Mus musculus: one gene and its partner. Each later gene encodes a partner of the first gene's protein in a complex. Links are inferred from orthologs where the notes say so. Each region holds a gene or a part of one and is shown in the gene's direction. Other genes may lie near its edges. The genes, in order: Xirp2 and Nebl.

What was found.
Region 2: the proteins of Xirp2 (region 1) and Nebl are in contact, whole or in part, in a crystal structure (PDB 4F14), measured with the Homo sapiens proteins. The link is inferred for Mus musculus from reciprocal best matches to the Homo sapiens genes XIRP2 and NEBL. Residues at the interface, in NP_689594.4 of Homo sapiens: Pro2420, Pro2421, Pro2422, Thr2423, Leu2424, Pro2425, Lys2426, Pro2427; in NP_006384.1 of Homo sapiens: Tyr963, Asp964, Tyr965, Asp969, Asp971, Glu972, Ile987, Asp988, Asp989, Gly990, Trp991, Met1004, Pro1006, Asn1008, Tyr1009.

Annotation. Positions count from the first base shown.
Region 1 is NC_000068.7:67,442,571-67,451,642, forward strand, and holds the start of Xirp2 (xin actin-binding repeat-containing protein 2), read left to right. Parts: upstream 1-3,431; 5' UTR 3,432-3,584; intron 3,585-9,072.
Region 2 is NC_000068.7:17,457,475-17,466,630, reverse strand, and holds the start of Nebl (nebulette), read left to right. Parts: upstream 1-3,774; 5' UTR 3,775-3,964; intron 3,965-6,085; 5' UTR 6,086-6,092; coding exon 6,093-6,173; intron 6,174-6,274; coding exon 6,275-6,346; intron 6,347-9,156. UniProt on the Homo sapiens protein: Binds to actin and plays an important role in the assembly of the Z-disk. May functionally link sarcomeric actin to the desmin intermediate filaments in the heart muscle sarcomeres.

The DNA of each region.
Region 1 (9,072 bases):
AGCAATTCTTGGCATCCACAATAGTGCCTGGGTTTGGTGTCTGTATATGGAATGGATCCCCAGGTGGGGCAGGCTCTGGATGGCCTTTCCTTCAGTCTCTACTCCACACTTTGTCTCTGTATTTCCTCCCTTGAGTATTTTGTTCCTCCTTCTAAGAAAGACTGAAGCATCCATACTTTGATCTTCCTTCTTCTTGAGCTTCATGTGGTCTGTGAATTGTATCTTGGGTATTCCGAGCTTTTGGGAACTTTTAAATTATAGTCAGTATAAATAATGTCTCTGAAAACATGTAACTAAGGAGTCAGCAGAATTAAGATCAATGCCCGTTGTTTTTCGCTTATTATTAACTTTATCTTTGAAAGAGTTACTTAATTTTCCTAATCTTCAGTTTTATTAGAAATAATAGTGTCAATTGCTTGATTTGAGAGCAAGATGAAATAAATGTAAATAACACAAATCAAATCTATAACATAATCCTTTTATATAGTCCAGATGTTATTTTTAAGGGAAAAAATAACAGAAATAAGAACATATATTAAATTTCTTGTACAGTACTTTTAAGAAAGATTTTAGATTCATAAAAAACTGAAGAGAATGGATGAAGTTTTCCATCCACCTCCTCCTACATAGGCCATATCATCACTGTCCTTAAGCAGAGTTGAATCTTTCTTGTGATTTTGATGAATTCACACTGACACACTTAGATGTCATAGGTCTATACATTAATATTCAAATTGTACATTCATTGGAATTGACAAGTGTATAATAACACACAACCCTAGTACAGTGTCATTCAGAAAGAGCTTCTATTTCAGCCTAGTCTCCCTCCATTAACCCTTAAAAACTTTTATTTTTTCATACTTTTGCCTTTTCTAGAATGCACTAACATTGAATCCATATAGTATGCAGATTTTTGCAGTAGATTTACTATTTGATTTTCCTCGATGTCTTTCTGTAGCACTGAATAGCATTCTAATTTCTAACTGTGCAAGATTGTATTGATCAGTGAAGGATAGATAAATTAATTCCAAATTTTGGTAAATACCTTTTTTGTCTACATCTCCTTGCAGACTTCTGGGTAGACGTGTCATTTTAACTTTAAGCTGGGCTATAAGTAAGAATACATGTGGCCTATAAACAACCAAGGATCGTCCTCTCTCATTGGATCAGGAGTGGGTAAAGGGTCCCAGTGCGCTGAATCTTTGTAGACATTTGGTATTTTCATGTACTGTATATATCAGTCATTTTAACAGTTATGCAGTCATAATTCACTCCTGTTACTTGCGTTTTTCTGATGGTAAATGGTGTGAAGTCTCGTCCACATGCTTCTCTGACATCTATAACCACCTCAGGTGATGAATGTTAATTTCCTTGGTTCGTTTTGAATTTTTTTAATTCAATTGTTTTAACCGATGTATATAATAATGAAAGTTCTACATATGAGTGGATATTGTGCAATAGCTCAATACATATATGCATTATAGAGGATTTAAATCAAGCTAAGTATGTTTATTTTAATCATTGTTTTTTTCATAGGTTGTATAAGTATTTAAATCAGAAACATTTTCCCTGAAAAGTCAAAAATAAAATAGAGAGGAGATCATTGTGAATGAAACCAGAGGAATTAAATCAAGAAACTAGTCACTAAAATAAAAAAGAGTTCATTTGAGCAAGAGAGATGACAAATCCTAACATCAGATATTTGAGCAATTTACCTTATTGCAAACAGTATCATTAATATCCAAATAAAATAATAAAAATAATAAAGTTGACCGCATTTATATATTAAGATCAGTCTCATAACTTATGATTTTCGATATACTGTCTCTTATGAACATGGTGCATTAACATGATTTTCTGAGAAATATTATGTTGGAGTAGTAATATTATAAGCACAATTAATTTATTTTCTCATTTAATCTTGGTAACAACCGTATAAAGACTCTGGAACGTACCCTAATTTAATCAAAGATGAATGTATTAGAATGTATATGAATGTTCAACTTGTCCAGGTAACAGAGCACTGTTTGTGTAAACCTGTGCTGAGATCCAACGTGACATGAGCAATGGTGAGGGGATCTTCCAAGTGATAAGAGCATTCTCAATGAAGAAACACACGTCACAGTTGCAGACTGGGTACTTGAGATATAGTTAGTACAAGTGTGGAACTGAAAATTAAAATTTCATTAAATATTAATAATTTAAATTTCTGGTGACCACATGCCTAGCAATGACCATACATACTGGTCAACAAATCTTGAGATAGTTTACACTGGAAAATCTTGTGGAATACTCAGGACCATTGAGTAAAGATTTTTGTAGAGATAAGAAGCTGCAGTATCACTAGTTGCACTACTTTTAATAAAAACCTGTAGATGAAAAAAAAAAACATATATGCTTATATTCATTGATCATAGTATGGTCAATTGTAAGCTCAGTTATGTTTTGCAATTAGCAGTGTAAAAGTAAGATGCTTTCTTCAAGTTGCAGACAATTTCCTTTGTTTGTTTTGGTTTTTTGTGAGTCCAGCTGCATAGGACACACAGGGCACAACTCTGGGAAGTTATAGAAGAGTTGAAAGGTTGGTGAGCAGGATTCTTCATTCTAACGCATTCTAAAGAATGTGGCATTATGAAGCTGAAGGGTAATATCAGCTAACTTCCGTCTCCATTTGGGCTAGCAGAGTCTACTGAGAAAGTACAGTGGCAATGGTATGTAATAGAATTCTCTCAAGAGCACATAAGATGAATCTTTCCCTGCCTGATCTATCTTGCCCTTTCCTACTAAACACTACAGTATGAGTGCTTTATGAGGGAAGACTTGAAAAGCAAACATTGCTTTACACACCGAGAATATGAAAATTGTAAATTAAAAAAAAATCTATGATGATCCCAGGGTGATCCTCCAATATTTCAGTCTGTAGAATCTGAGATAGGAGGATCCAGCCCATTGCACATAGGAAACACCTACTTCCTATAGAAAAGAAAAGAAAACAAGAATCAAAGTTCCCTTCTGAAGATTTCAAGTTAATTATCACTATCCCAAACAGAATAAATAAGATCAACTTTTTGTGTGCTTTGTTTTCAAATCCTTTACTCTTAAGTGAGTAAAGGTATCTTTTAAAAGCAAGCAATTGAAGTCCTTTAATAACCCCACTTTATTCATTATTTATTTCTCAGAATATGTTGAGAAGTTCAGACTTTGGTGTGATAGTGGCTATGGAAGGGAGTTTGAGTGACTGCACATGTGTCAGAGCCATGCATACATTTCTCAGGAGAGTACTAAGCAGTATGACCTCAGAGACTCACTTCTGAAAGGAGTGGTTGACTCAAGCCCCACCTAGACAGAGCTCAGTTCCTAAAAATAGGTGCTAGGTTGCATCCTTTGGACACAGGGCTAAAATAAATTCAGCAGCCCTGCCTGCTTGCCTCATAGACTCTTCGGTGGAGCTGGTCTCCACTCTGCTGGTTGCTTTCAGGGGACTGGGAAATTTGCTGTGTGTCAAACAGGGAGGAGCCTTTCAAGTGAAGAGTTGCAAATCCATAGAGCATTTCTACGGAGCTAGGGTCAATTCTGGTACAAAGGTATGTGTAATAGAGTCCCGTGTGTGCCAAGGTTATAAAATGTTCGACTCTTACTGAAAGAGCAGTGAAGACTGAAAGTCAAATGTCATTATATAAAAGAAAATTGATCAAGTTGGATTTGTTCTTAGAATTGTGCTTAGCACTGTTGGATATGAAATTTAGAACCTCATGTGTTAATCTCTCTCCAATAAATTATTTTAATGTTTAATCTTAAAGAATAATGAGCTTAATAACCAGTCACAACTTAAAAGTTATCCTACAATTTACAGCCAGAAGGGAAACTGAAAAATGCTTTGTCTCTCATGTGCGCAGAGAGAAAAATATACAGATTAAGAAATGCGAATGATATTTCATGAAGCTTGATGAGGAAAAAGGGGAGCCTGAAACGTTTTCAAATGTTTCAGCACACTCTGAGAAATGCAGGAAAGTTATTGCTTCTCAGTCATAGTTTGATTTTTGTAGATCTTGCTCTAGCTGCGGGCTTATGTCCTCTGGGAGTCTTACTGAAGTTAAGGATTAAAGAATCAGGTTCTTCCATGTTTTTCAGAATTAAGGAAAGCACTTCCAGTTGGATCTGCCAGCCCTAATTACGGTAACTGCAAACTCAGAGTATACTGAGATAGTGCTTTGAGGGTATCATGCCCTATATACACTTTCAAATGTATTTTTTTTTTCTGTCTTCAATTGCCCATGAACATGTTAATTTGGTCCTGTTGTGCTGTGTTTGGATGCTAAGAGACTGAAGTGATTTGGGAGTGACAGTCTAAGAGATTCTCCTAAGACATGGTGGGAAAGCAAGGACTCTCTAAGGTTGCATAATGCTGGGTTTAAATTTAGCCAGCTGGTGTTGAACTGAAAGATATTTTATTTTTACCAGAGCTCAATTTGGTCACTGACGGAGCTGTTGGTTGTTTGACACATTTTAAAATTTTGTGTTAAGGTGTCAAAAGACAAGTTAAATATTTACTTCAACTGTATTCAGAGTTATGGATTATTTTTTAATGAAAGGATACCTGTTGATAGTTTTAGACAATATAAAAGGGAATGGAAAATGTTGGGGCAGAAATCAGAAATTCTGCATTGTATGTTTAAATATCTCTCTGCTTCTTCGCTTGATATTTGAGTATTTTCCCTTCTTGGTATCCACGCATCAGCTAAGAACTAGATCCGTTTTTAAATATCACTCAGAGCTTCGCATGGCTGCAATGTGGCAAACTGCCCGCTGCCTGGAGGGAAGACACAGTCTGGCTTTTAGTTGGAACGGGGTTTCTTTCATCCAGGAGTGGGCGGGCGTCTTTTAGGTGTAGCTTCCTCAAGTTTCTGAAAAACGAAAGTCGACATTCTCTAATGATCACGGGAGCCATAGCTTCAGAAAAGGTCCCCGAAAAAATGTCAGCACAGGTGCCTGCTGTCTCCTGTGATTACAGAGAACAGGAAAGCTGCCTTCATGCAGGTCTGCTTTTTCAGAGAAAGTCCAACTTCAGAGATAATTCGCTGCTATTTACAAAAGTTCTGTCCCTGCTGTTTATTCCATTCCAGATTTCCAACTCTTACTTTGGATTTGCCAAATTTGAAAAAAATTAAAAACTTCGATGTAGCAACTTTGTTTTTTACCTAGTTGAAAACTGTTAAGCTCAATGGAAGAATTTCAAGTTTGAGTTTGTTGTTCTCCTCCCTCCCACTTGGGTGCTCTCTCTCTCTCTCTCTCTCCCTCTCTCTCTCTCTCTCTCTCTCTCTCTCTCTCTCTCTCTCTCTCTCTCTCTCTCACACACACACACACACACACACACACACACACACACAGACTCATCAGTTTATGTATTAAAGGAGTCCACTGATAAGGTCTGTTTGATAGCAGGGAGTCTATAATTTACAAGGCAGGGTTGACAATAAGAAAATGGCAATATAGTTCTAAGACTTTTTGATTAACAATCTGTGTGAGATAGGGTTTAATATAATTACCATGTCCTTTTTTTATTTGCATCTCATCCAGACTTTTGAAAATATCCAAGTTACCCTTTGAAACTTAATTAAGTTGTAATTTGCTTTTTTTTTTCTCATTTCCTTAAAAGAAATTGGTTCATTCAACTGATGCACTCATCCTGTGCTGAGTGTTGACAAGCTTCACCCTTTTCAGATCCAAGGCAGCCTTGTCTAGAACACTGATCTATTCCACGTGAATACATGTCCATATATGGTTGCATTGGGTGTTTCCATTTCCATTTCCTGATACTACTTACAGAACATACATTGCAACCTTTCCAATTACAGACAGTTCTTCTATTTCCCTAACTCCACTGAGCAGCCCACAGACTCGATCCAATTCTGGCACTACTGCTTCACTTTAGCAAGTTCGCCAGAATATACAGACTGGATCAGAGTAATCTGCCTAGGATAGCAGCTGGAATTGAGAGCCCAGCCTTCTGGCCCTTTCTCCTAACAAAACTAGACCTTCCTCCCGTCTGATAATTAATGAAAATGCCTCAAAACACTCTGCTTACCATCATAGTTATGTTGTGAAGGATACAATTACTCTAATATAGAGATGTCCATGGCAAAGCACTGGGGGAAAGGTGGGGTCATAGTTCCTTACCCAGGCCACTCCTGAAAGTAAGGGATCTCTGGAGCAAACAGGTTTATTGAAATGGGAATAGTGTTAGTCTGAGAAGGCCCATGCTCAGGGACAAATTCTATATCCACCAGCTTCAAGGGTAGGTAGAAAGTCTGTGGAAGCTAAAGACTTTCAAGCAAAATATGGAAAAAGGGAATTTATGTGTATTTCTACTCAGCCTACACTGGTATTAGTTATTGGAGGAAGTTTTGAGATAGGACAGGCCACAAAAAGAAGTATCTATTTATTCTGAAAGGCTGGAGTACTAAATAGCTAGAATGGGCTTCTAAAAGGTAACCACTTGGGATTTGGAATCAGGCTATTATTATTATTATTATTATTATTATTATTATTATTATATTAAAATATAAAACTATATATTAGCATGATTATTGAAATTTAACATAAACATTAAATATGTTATGCTTTCAATAAATCATATATTAAATATATATGGGGATATGGAATATATTTCATTGATAGATAACAGATAGAGATAGAGAGAGATGGATAGATAGATAGATAGATAGACAGACTCACTTTTGTTTCTTTTCATACTGTGTTTCTTTTTTTTTTTTTTTTTTTTCCATTTTTTATTAGGTATTTAGCTCATTTACATTTCCAATGCTATACCAAAAGTCCCCCTTACCCACCCACCCCCACTCCCCTACCCACCCACTCCCCCCCTTTGGCCCTGGCGTTCCCCTGTACCGGGGCACACAAAGTCTGCGTGTCCAATGGGCCTCTCTTTCCAGTGATGGCCGACTAGGCCATCTTTTGATACATATGCAGCTAGAGTCAAGAGCTCAGGGGTACTGGTTAGTTCATAATGTTGTTCCACCTATAGGGTTGCAGATCCCTTTAGCTCCTTGGATACTTTCTCTAGCTCCTCCATTGGGAGCCCTGTGATCCATCCATTAGCTGACTGTGAGCATCCACTTCTGTGTTTGCTAGGCCCCGGCATAGTCTCACAAGAGACAGCTACATCTGGGTCCTTTCGATAAAATCTTGCTAGTATATGCAATGGTGTCAGCGTTTGGATGCTGATTATGGGGTGGATCCCTGGATATGGCAGTCTCTACATGGTCCATCCTTTCATCTCAGCTCCAAACTTTGTTTCTGTAACTCCTTCCATGGGTGTTTTGTTCCCACTTCTAAGGAGGGGCATAGTGTCCACACTTCAGTCTTCATTTTTCTTGAGTTTCATGTGTTTAGGAAATTGTATCTTATATTGTGGGTATCCTAGGTTTTGGGCTAGTATCCACTTATCAGTGAGTACATATTGTGTGAGTTCCTTTGTGATTGTGTTACCTCACTCAGGATGATGCTCTCCAGGTCCATCCATTTGGCTAGGAATTTCATAAATTCATTCTTTTTAATAGCTGAGTAGTACTCCATTGTGTAGATGTACCACATTTTCTGTATCCATTCCTCTGTTGAGGGGCATCTGGGTTCTTTCCAGTTTCTGGCTATTATAAATAAGGCTGCTATGAACATAGTGGAGCATGTGTCCTTCTTACCAGTTGGGGCTTCTTCTGGATATATGCCCAGGAGAGGTATTGCTGGATCCTCCGGTAGTACTATGTCCAATTTTCTGAGGAACCGCCAGACTGATTTCCAGAGTGGTTGTACAAGCCTGCAATCCCACCAACAATGGAGGAGTGTTCCTCTTTCTCCACATCCTCGCCAGCATCTGCTGTCACCTGAATTTTTGATCTTAGCCATTCTCACTGGTGTGAGGTGGAATCTCAGGGTTGTTTTGATTTGCATTTCCCTGATGATTAAGGATGTTGAACATTTTTTCAGGTGCTTCTCTGCCATTCGGTATTCCTCAGGTGAGAATTCTTTGTTCAGTTCTGAGCCCCATTTTTTAAGGGGGTTATTTGATTTTCTGAGGTCCACCTTCTTGAGTTCTTTATATATGTTGGATATTAGTCCCCTATCTGATTTAGGATAGGTAAAGATCCTTTCCCAGTCTGTTGGTGGTCTTTTTGTCTTATAGACAGTGTCTTTTGCCTTGCAGAAACTTTGGAGTTTCATTAGGTCCCATTTGTCAATTCTCGATCTTACAGCACAAGCCATTGCTGTTCTGTTCAGGAATTTTTCCCCTGTGCCCATATCTTCAAGGCTTTTCCCCACTTTCTCCTCTATAAGTTTCAGTGTCTCTGGTTTTATGTGAAGTTCCTTGATCCACTTAGATTTGACCTTAGTACAAGGAGATAAGTATGGATCGATTCGCATTCTTCTACATGATAACAACCAGTTGTGCCAGCACCAATTGTTGAAAATGCTGTCTTTCTTCCACTGGATGGTTTTGGCTCCCTTGTCGAAGATCAAGTGACCATAGGTGTGTGGGTTCATTTCTGGGTCTTCAATTCTATTCCATTGGTCCACTTGTCTGTCTCTATACCAGTACCATGCAGTTTTTATCACAATTGCTCTGTAGTAAAGCTTTAGGTCAGGCATGGTGATTCCACCAGAGGTTCTTTTATCCTTGAGAAGAGTTTTTGCTATCCTCGGTTTTTTGTTATTCCAGATGAATTTGCAAATTGCTCCTTCTAATTCGTTGAAGAATTGAGTTGGAATTTTAATGGGGATTGCATTGAATCTGTAGATTGCTTTTGGCAAGATAGCCATTTTTACAATGTTGGTCCTGCCAATCCATGAGCATGGGAGATCTTTCCATCTTCTGAGATCTTCTTTAATTTCTTTCTTCAGGGACTTGAAGTTTTTATCATACAGATCTTTCACTTCCTTCGTTAGAGTCACGCTGAGATATTTTATATTATTTGTGGCTATTGAGAAGGGTGTTGTTCATACTGTGTTTCATGTCTCTGCTAAAATTAAAACAAATTATCTAAAAGGGAACATGATCAC
Region 2 (9,156 bases), about 50 Mb from region 1:
TCTATATGGAAGGAGTAATTTCACTTGGCTAATGAGACTAAGAAGGGGTAAAAATTAAAAGTTCAAGGCACATAGGGAGAATAGATTTCTGAGGAGCTGCTGCTTCCACAGTTAGTTGACTGGGAATTATATTATTTATAAAAAGTTCATAGCTCACACTAGCTTAAGCTTTTATAATACATACATACATACATACATACATACATACATACATACATACGTAATACATATAATATCTGCATATACATAGATGATAGGATGAGTGATTTCTATACAGTGACCTCATGGAGCTCTCCCCTGAGGTCTCTGACTGCTGCTCTTTTCCTGTCCTTGCTCCTGTTGTAGGTGACAGTGTGATTCAACTCCCCGCCCCTCAACTCTGGCTTGTAGGTCTTTGCTCTCCGGATCCCTTCCCTCTACTGTACCACTTTGCTTAATTCTTGCTTACCTGCTCTTTCCTGGGATGGATCCAGTTTTTCCCTTGTTTCTGTGAAGTCACCTCACTCTGCACTCACATAACTTTCCTACCTCCTTTTCCTAGTTCACACTTCCTCCCAAAAGTGCTGCATCATCTAGTTTTCCCATGTTTGTGTAACATTGTTCTAACAGCTGATCTCAAAGTGCTTCCCTCAAGGCTGCCTCTCTGTTTTTGCATAGGAGGACTTCATCCTGTTTTCGAGGATTGATGTACAACGTCCTCCAGACCCAACATGAGGAACAGTTTCTTTTACATGAGTGACTATGGAATTATTTATTTTACTGTGCTTCCATAAAACTCAGAAGTCCTGTAAACAAACCGTGTTACAAACTAACTGGCATGCCATCTATTTCTGAGTGCGTTAAAGAATTGCCAACAGTGATTAAGCCTGTTCTCTCTCTCTCTCTCTGGCTCTGAATGGGGTGTTGACAGCCAACCAAGAGCTTCTTCAATAAATCCATTTTCATGTTCAAGTTTTTCCAGATGTGAGAAATAATTAAATCTTTGCATTTATTGGAGCCATTTTTGCTTTTCAGACAGGAACTGGCAGCTGGAGTGAATTAACTCTGCCTGAGTGTGTATATAGTGTTTGCGGTATGTGTGAATGTACATACACGCATGCATATAGCACTTGTCAATAATAAAACAAAGTTAGACTTGAAAACAACCCAAAATGAGAGGCTGGTTATGACAACTCATGCTAAGCATTGTCGTAGGGATGCTTCATAACTGAGAGCCCGCTCTCCACTGAGTCCCCTGTTCTTTATTGTTCTGCTAAATGTTAAAGAAATGAAAAGATTCATAACTGTTAAGTGATATATTTTTAAAAATATGTGATTCTTATAAAATACAAAATAAGTGCTTCTCAAATATTTCAGTAAATGAGGGGACTGGTAAGATGTTGCAGTTGGTTCAAAGTGAATGGCCTTCATAGATACATAAATAGGAAGGAATGCTGAAATGAATTTAAAACTGGATGCAGAGCCAATAATCAATTGTGTCCTCTAAGATATAATTTACACTCCTAAAGATTAGATTATTATCATTTTTTCAGCATGAAGAATTACAGCATAGCTTAAAGACAGTCAAAGGACAATATAGTTACAAAGAAGCATTTGATAAGATACTCAAATTTTTTATGTCAGTGTCAAAGTCTTTCACAACTATTCTATTTTTAAATTTATTTTATTTTATTTTTTATATATACACTATCCATTCCTTCACTGCTCCCCTCCAGGTCACCCTCTCCCACAGCCTTTCCTCCTTCCCCCTTCCTCTCCCATTCTCCTCTGAGCAGGGGCAACCCTTGGGTATCCCCCTACCCCAGCACATCAAATCTCTGCAAGGCTAGGTGCTTCCTCTCCCACTGAGGACAAACAAGGTAGCCCAGCTAGAACATATCCCACATACATGAAACAGCTTTTGGAATAGTCCCTTCTCTACTTGTTGAGGACCCACATGAAGACCAAACTGCTTATATGTGATATATGTGCGAAGAGGCCTAGGTCCAGCCTGTGTATGCTCTTTGGTTGGTAGTTCAGTCTAGACCCTGAGAGCCCCAAGGGTCCAGGTTGGTTGATTCTGTTGGTCTTCCTGTGGAGTTCTCATCCCCTTTGGGGCCCACAATCCTTCCTCCTATTCTTCTATAAAAGTCCACAAGCTCCATTCACTGTTTGGCTATTGGTGTCTGTATCTGAGTTAGCTCCTGTGTGGAGCCTCTCAGAGGACAGCATTTTTCTGTCTGAAAGCATAACAGAGTATCATTAATAGTGTCAGGGATTGGTCACAACCATTCTTAGTACATTCCACATAAAACTTTAGGAAAGGGATACATGCATGCATACATACATACATACATACATACATACGTGTTTGTACACACACACATTATACATACACATACACATACATATACATCTTCCTTTTTGTGTAGTAATCAAGATGTTTGATCCTGCCTGGCTCTCTGGCTCTGGTTAAAGGGTATATTCAGATAGTTAAAGCCATTGACTTCTTTTGTATGACTGTGAGGGCCCAATAAGAAAATGGGGTTTAAAGGCTTATATACCCCTTCATATTATATCTTCATATGGGAGAAAGTATTGAGTCAAGATGGAGGCAATTTTAGGGAAGAATAAATGATTTACTGGGGGAGGGGGTGGTGAGATATAGACTCAGAAAGACAACAGACTGAGACAAAGTTTGTTTCGGCTTTGGGTGTTTGGTTTCCTCTTCTTGGTTGATGAAATAACATGGTAGAAGCCCACTATGTTCGCTTTTGGTAGAAGCAGCCTTTGTGTAAATAAAGAATTTTCAAAGAAGAGCTCTTTCCAGATTCTGCTGATTCCCCAGTGTCTGTAATCTAAAGCATCCCATGGTCTGAGGCATCATATTTTCTGGTATCTCCCATCTCAGCTCAGAACTCAATTGTAATTTATGATAATACAACATTAAACTTACACTAGGATTTACGAAAAAGGATAGGTATTTTTGAAACGTAATAACTGCCCACTAAGGACCCTTTTCTAACAAATTCCCCAAGTCAGAGTTTATACCTATTGACAGAAAAGCTTGACTGATAAAATCAGGGCTTAAAAAATATAGAGGAAATTTGACATGACTTTTATACTATCTTCTTATGCAAATGAAAAGAAGACACACTAAATCAAAAGTAATGGTGTATGTGGCTTGCCAGAAAGTCCATTAAAGAGTTCACTCAGCAAGTTTTGAGGTGATTTTTTTCCTGCCAGGGTATGTGCTACTTACTACTGGATCTCCTTATCCTGGTGTAGAACCAGCATAACAACATCAGTGTGTACTAAGCAGGCATCAGTGTGTACTAAGCAGTTCCTATCACACTGTTTTGCAAAGGAAGCAAATAGTTCACTGTTCTTAGCCTTCTGTTTGTCCTCTCTGAAGGAAAGCATTCTAAGTGAGGGTTTGTGATGGTTGTCAGCACTGGGGCCCAACAGAAGGCCTTGCATAGAAGCAAGCAAACTTGGTAATAAGCCAGCTGTGTTCCTAGCCATCTTTTTATGTTTATTTAAGACATGGTCTTGCTAAGTTGTCCAGGTTGGGATGAAGCTCTCTCTGTAGCTTGGGCTGGGCTTGAAGTTGTGATTGCTTTGCTCCCATCTCCTAAATTGGCTGGAAATGCAAGCTTTAAAGATTTTAGTAATGTGACTTTAAAATTCTGATTCTGACCTCTTAAAAGAAAAAATATGTTCATATTATGTGTGGTGTTTGGTGTGTCTTTGAAACTTTTGTGCATTAAAGGTTAACTGATTATTTTATTGCAGCCCAGCGAAGAACCATTAAGAACTCACAGCAAGATTGAAGATGAGAAGAAATCCTGCTTAAGCCTCAGGCACGCCATTCACTATGGAAACAGACATCACCCAAAGCAACATGAGCATTGTCATCTGAAGTGGAAGCTAAGAGGTTCATCTTGGACAGCGTTGGGATATTTTTTCCTATGTACTTCTGAAGGTTTGCAAGAAAAGTTTTTAGAAATTATTCCTCCGTAGAAAGCATTTCCTTCCTGAAGGTAGCACAGAGGAGCCTCTACAGAAGCAAAAGACAGCCTTAGGGAGAGGACATGAGGGAAACTTATAGATTGCAAATTCTCCTTACAGGACAAGTTTATAACAAACGAAAAGAATTCCAGTAGACGTGAGGGACGACATGGCTGTTATCTCAAAGTTTCCCAATTTAGCATTCCGGGGACAGTTCCTTTCTGGCATTTTGCTGGTTAAGTGGGGTCTGTGATACCCTTAATTTGACCTCTATTCAAAACTGTTTAATGAGAAAGCCAGCAAATCATGAAGAAGTTAGTCAGACGTAACAATGTTTTCCTAAGTCACATTTCACAGAGGGCACTGGATGCCATTAAGAGACAATAGTAGGCAGAATAGATGTGGAAACAGGAGGCAGACAGGATTCTTCTTTTAGAAGGGAAAGATTTAGTAAGTTGGGTAGGGCTTTTGATTGACGGTCATCACAGGTCTCTGCATGTGTCACTGTGGTGTGTAACACTCATCCTGACAACTATAGAAATTTCTTTATAGGTTTCTTGAAGAGATTTGTTTTAGGTCATTGTTTTTTGCCTTATCAACCTTTTTTTGTGGTACAGTTTTGCCTTTTGGAAAAGCATGTGAGAAACAGTATGGTTTTTGATGGATGTTCAGAATTCGAATGACTTATTAGATAAGGCTGGGGCATTTTTCTTTTAAAAACTGATAAGGACGTGTACAGAGATAGATATTCAATAGTTAAGACTATATAAAATGTAACATGAAACTAGCTCCACAACTTCAGAATCACTATTCTACCTTCATAGATGTTCAATGGGATATATAGACATTAGATCTTCTTAACTTCAGGGTGTTTTTTTAAATTAAAAATATTTTACAAGTTATTAAAAATAAATTGAAAACAAGATGATATCAAAATATATTTGGCTATGTAGGAATGAAGTATTATTTTGGATAAAGCTCTATTTTATGTAATTAATTTAATTAGTCACCATGGGGTGTTTTTCTAACACTGATCACTGATATGCAATACTTTTATAAAAAGCAATTTTACCTTAAAATTTAAACAGCCAAATTAACACATCAGGAATGAGAGATTCTTAGAATTGCTTAAATCGACAATAAAGGATTTATTTAGAAGAGTTTTCTTAATTATTGAACTAGTAAGATAGTCTACACAACAAATATGGTAATGTAATTTCTTAGTTTTCCAAGTGTGGGATACAGTGAGACTATAAAAGATACTAGTGAGTTAGTGAAAATTCACACAATGACAAAAATGCAGAGCATAATTATTTCCAATGCAGCGATGTTTCCTGAAGTCTTAAATAATATATCAACATATATTAACTTCAACTTCTCATGTTTAATGATGTTTACGATTAATATGGTACAGTATTCCCTAATTTGAGATTAGCAGTTGTAATTAACTCAGAATAGATTCTTTGAAGTGGTTCAAAGGGCTTTTTGTAATAAATTATTAGCCTCTAATCAGCTAATATGAAGTGAGTAGTTTTGGGGGATGTGAGAAGTACACTAAAACCTCATAAAACATTTAATTTAAGTTAATGAAATAAATTTGTATGGTACGGAGTCTCTATATGGAAACAGAATGACTGACATTCCAGAGGAGGCTTTATTTAGACCAAGTTGAGATATCTTTGGGATAAAGGCTTTAGGCCGGTGCTATCTTAGGTGTTATAGCTGAGTAGATTTCTAGAATTGTCAAGTCCCTTTAAAACAATTTTTAAAATTAATTGATTAATTGATTTAAAATTCATTAGTAGAAGATAAAAAAAAACCATTTTGTCTTGGGTTTCCTATGCTATCCTAAGAATGTTGATTTTAAGTTTGTAAAGTTGAGCTTTGACTTAGGAGAGAGTTTTCACTTGTGAGGCTGGGCCTGGCAGACCCTGAGGCTCCTGGGTGTTCACTGACACACCATTGAGATAAGGAGTGACATGAGCCAGGGATAAAGTCTGGCAAGCCTTTGCTTCCAGTGCCCCAGAGACTTGGTAGCTCACGGGTGTGGTAGTTCCTGAGAAGACACAGTTTGAAAGCATTAATATCTTCATAGGGTAAAGATGAAGGTACCTGTATCCGGGGATGTAAAAGAGGAAACTGAGGAGGAAAATGTGGAGCAGGAAGAAAACCAGGAAGCCAAGGTGAGCAAGAAAGAACTCACTTAAGCACAGAACTCTGTCCTTTAACAGATAAGGGAAAATCAGACCTTCTCCCTCCCTCTTTCTTTTTAATTTTCACATAGGTGTCTCTGAAACCTGTTATTGAAGACCTCAGCATGGAACTGGCCAGAAAGTGCACCGAGCTCATTAGTGACGTAAGTGGCTTTAAAGACTTTTATCTTATTTGCTTCCTTTACGTGGAATGGCTGTGTTGTAGAGTCATGGGGCTGGAGAGAAAACTCCCGAGGTTACCAGTTAGAGCACTGTCATTTTCTAGATCATAGAACTAAGTCCAGACATGTTAGGTGATTTCACCAAGGTCATATAGACAGTGATTGTCTAATGGAATAATTGTCCTCATTCCTAATCCAGATTCTGTCTCTTCCGGGTTGTGTAGTCATACTATGTTTTATGGTGTTGTGTTATCAAGCTCATGTTTGAGAACCCCCAAGACTTTAAAATTAGCAGAACGATATCATTTGTCTTGGAAGGATCTCTAAGTGAATGACTTTCAATATGGAAGGCCTTTATCTAAATGAATAGTACTTAACATTCTGAAGGCCATTTGAAGTTTCTGTCAAAGTCAATACTTTTCCATTTGCTTTTAATTGCATCTAACATTTCTTTGCAATATAGTGTGTGTATGTGTGTGTATGTGTGTGTGTGTGTATGTGTGTGTGTATGTGTTAATGGAATTGTACACTGCAAACACTGGTTCACATGATAATATCATTAAAAAAATTTTGTTTTTAGGAACTAAAGCTAGTTTATATGCTATTCCAAATGAAATCCTAGAGTTATTTAATGTAAACACATCCACATACATGATAAATTTATAAACTAGAATTCTAAATTTATAAGCAAGACTATTTCTTACTTGGTATGAGAACCCACCAAATACTCATAAACAATGTAAGAGAACTACTGGCTTAAAAAACATGGAGCTCTATGAAATGAAGTGTGTTTGTATCTGAATTCAGGGAGCTGAGCACAAAACTGGCTGCAACTGTTCTTTGTAATTTGCAAGTTTGTTTCCTAGGCAGTAGCGTAATACTTTGGTCAGTTCTCCAAGGCCAACTTGCTAGAGTCAACTCGACAATAACCTTGGAAATATTATTGATGCTGGTGGATTTAGCTCTTCAAGTATAATGATTATAGTTAAGATGAGATGTACATAAAAAATGCTGCAGTTACTCTTCAAAACACTGTGGTGACTGATAAGGGATAGCTACCCTAAGTTACTCTATCGGTAACTTTTTTATCTTTTGACCAACTTTGTAGTAGATAAAAATGGGCATACTTCTTCCCAAATTCTTGGCATAACATGTTACATAATTCAACTTTGAATTATTTATTTATTTGTGTTATTGCTTAGTTATAACCAGAAGTTGCTTAGCATGTGAAATATGTTTTGTAAACTGCAATAATAAGACATTGGCTGTGATAATTATGATCTTGACACCAGTGGCAGTTAAGATGTATTGAGCACCACATGCCAGGTGTTGTTGATTGTCAGGGTGGGACTCTTATTCATCGCCCTCCTCCCCCCGCCCCACGTCCGCCATTTCACTTTACTCCACTGTTGCTTCTCAGAGTGAATACCCATGCAAAGCTTGTTACTCCCTCACACATCTACTTAGTGACAGCCATGTCACCATTTAGAGGCAGCTTGAAGGTGCTGCCTCTTCCCACTCTGGTATGTTTTCACTGAAGTGTAGTTATTGCTGGGCTGCAGCTCTAATTCGGCAGGTGATATATTGGAGTGTTTGGGGGAGGATTATTATTGGTGACTTAGGAACCTTCTTGTAGGGAGGCACAATGGCTTTTTATACTCGGTGACTGCCAGCACCACACATTCTCTCTTCTTTAGGTGAGATCAAGCACATGGGAGAGATCTCTGTTTATTGTAGATTTATGTTTCATGGTGGAATGTCTGGACTACTTAAGTATTTAGAATATGATTATTGTCCCTTAATTCATGACTGGATATGTGCTCATATTTCACTTCATCGTAGGCTTCCGTACTGATAAGACACTCGTTTAGCTGTTAGAATTTTTACATGGATCAATAAAGATTCTGAAAAAATACACTAATTTCTAAAATAAAAATTATATGAAGGGTTTACACCATCATCTTAATACCAAATATTAGGGCTGACATTACAGTTGAGGAGCGGAATGTGTGTCTAGCATGTACAAGGTTCTCAACTGCAAACCAAATAAGCTAACAACCAAATATTGAATAAATTAAATGTTTATGTTCCTAAATGTTTCAGTGAACTATAACTGAAAGTTTATTGTTCTTCTTTAGTGACATCAGTAATTTTATGGGGAGCAAATGGCCTTATATTTGAAATTTCTTTTTCTTCAAATCAACTTATACTTAAAAATTTCATCTCTGCAGTATAGTAGCATAGCCAGCTTGTTGTCTAAAATACATCAGTCATAGAGTTAAAATAATAGGTATAAAATTGATGTTCTGTCACCTTAAATAGACCTGAGTTCTGGCTGAGCCTGTATTATATGGTGTTTCTAATTGGGAAGGACTAGATTGGTGCCCCGCATTTAACCTAGGACACCAGTCTTTTTCAGCCATCATGCCAAAATCAAAAGGGAACACCTCAAATGCTTTGGTGGCTTTATCAACCATCCTGTCCTAGAGGGGCTAGCTGTTTTTTGTTAGTCTGTCTTTTTGTTTGCTTGTTTATTTGTTTTTTGAGGGTAATTTTGTTTCATATTACTGAGTTTAGATTTGTTACTGAATGAAATTGTAGGCGGGAGGGTTGCTGATTTAGCAGAGCCCTGAACCCTAAAGCTTGTGGAAACCCTCATGTGTTGGAGACCAAGCCATTCATTCATTCAGCAAGCTCCCCAGGATTGAAACAAGGTCAGTAGGACCCTCAAGCCTTGGGCATCTTGCTAGCCTTCCTCCTTGCTACATGTATGCTAATCACTACACACATGC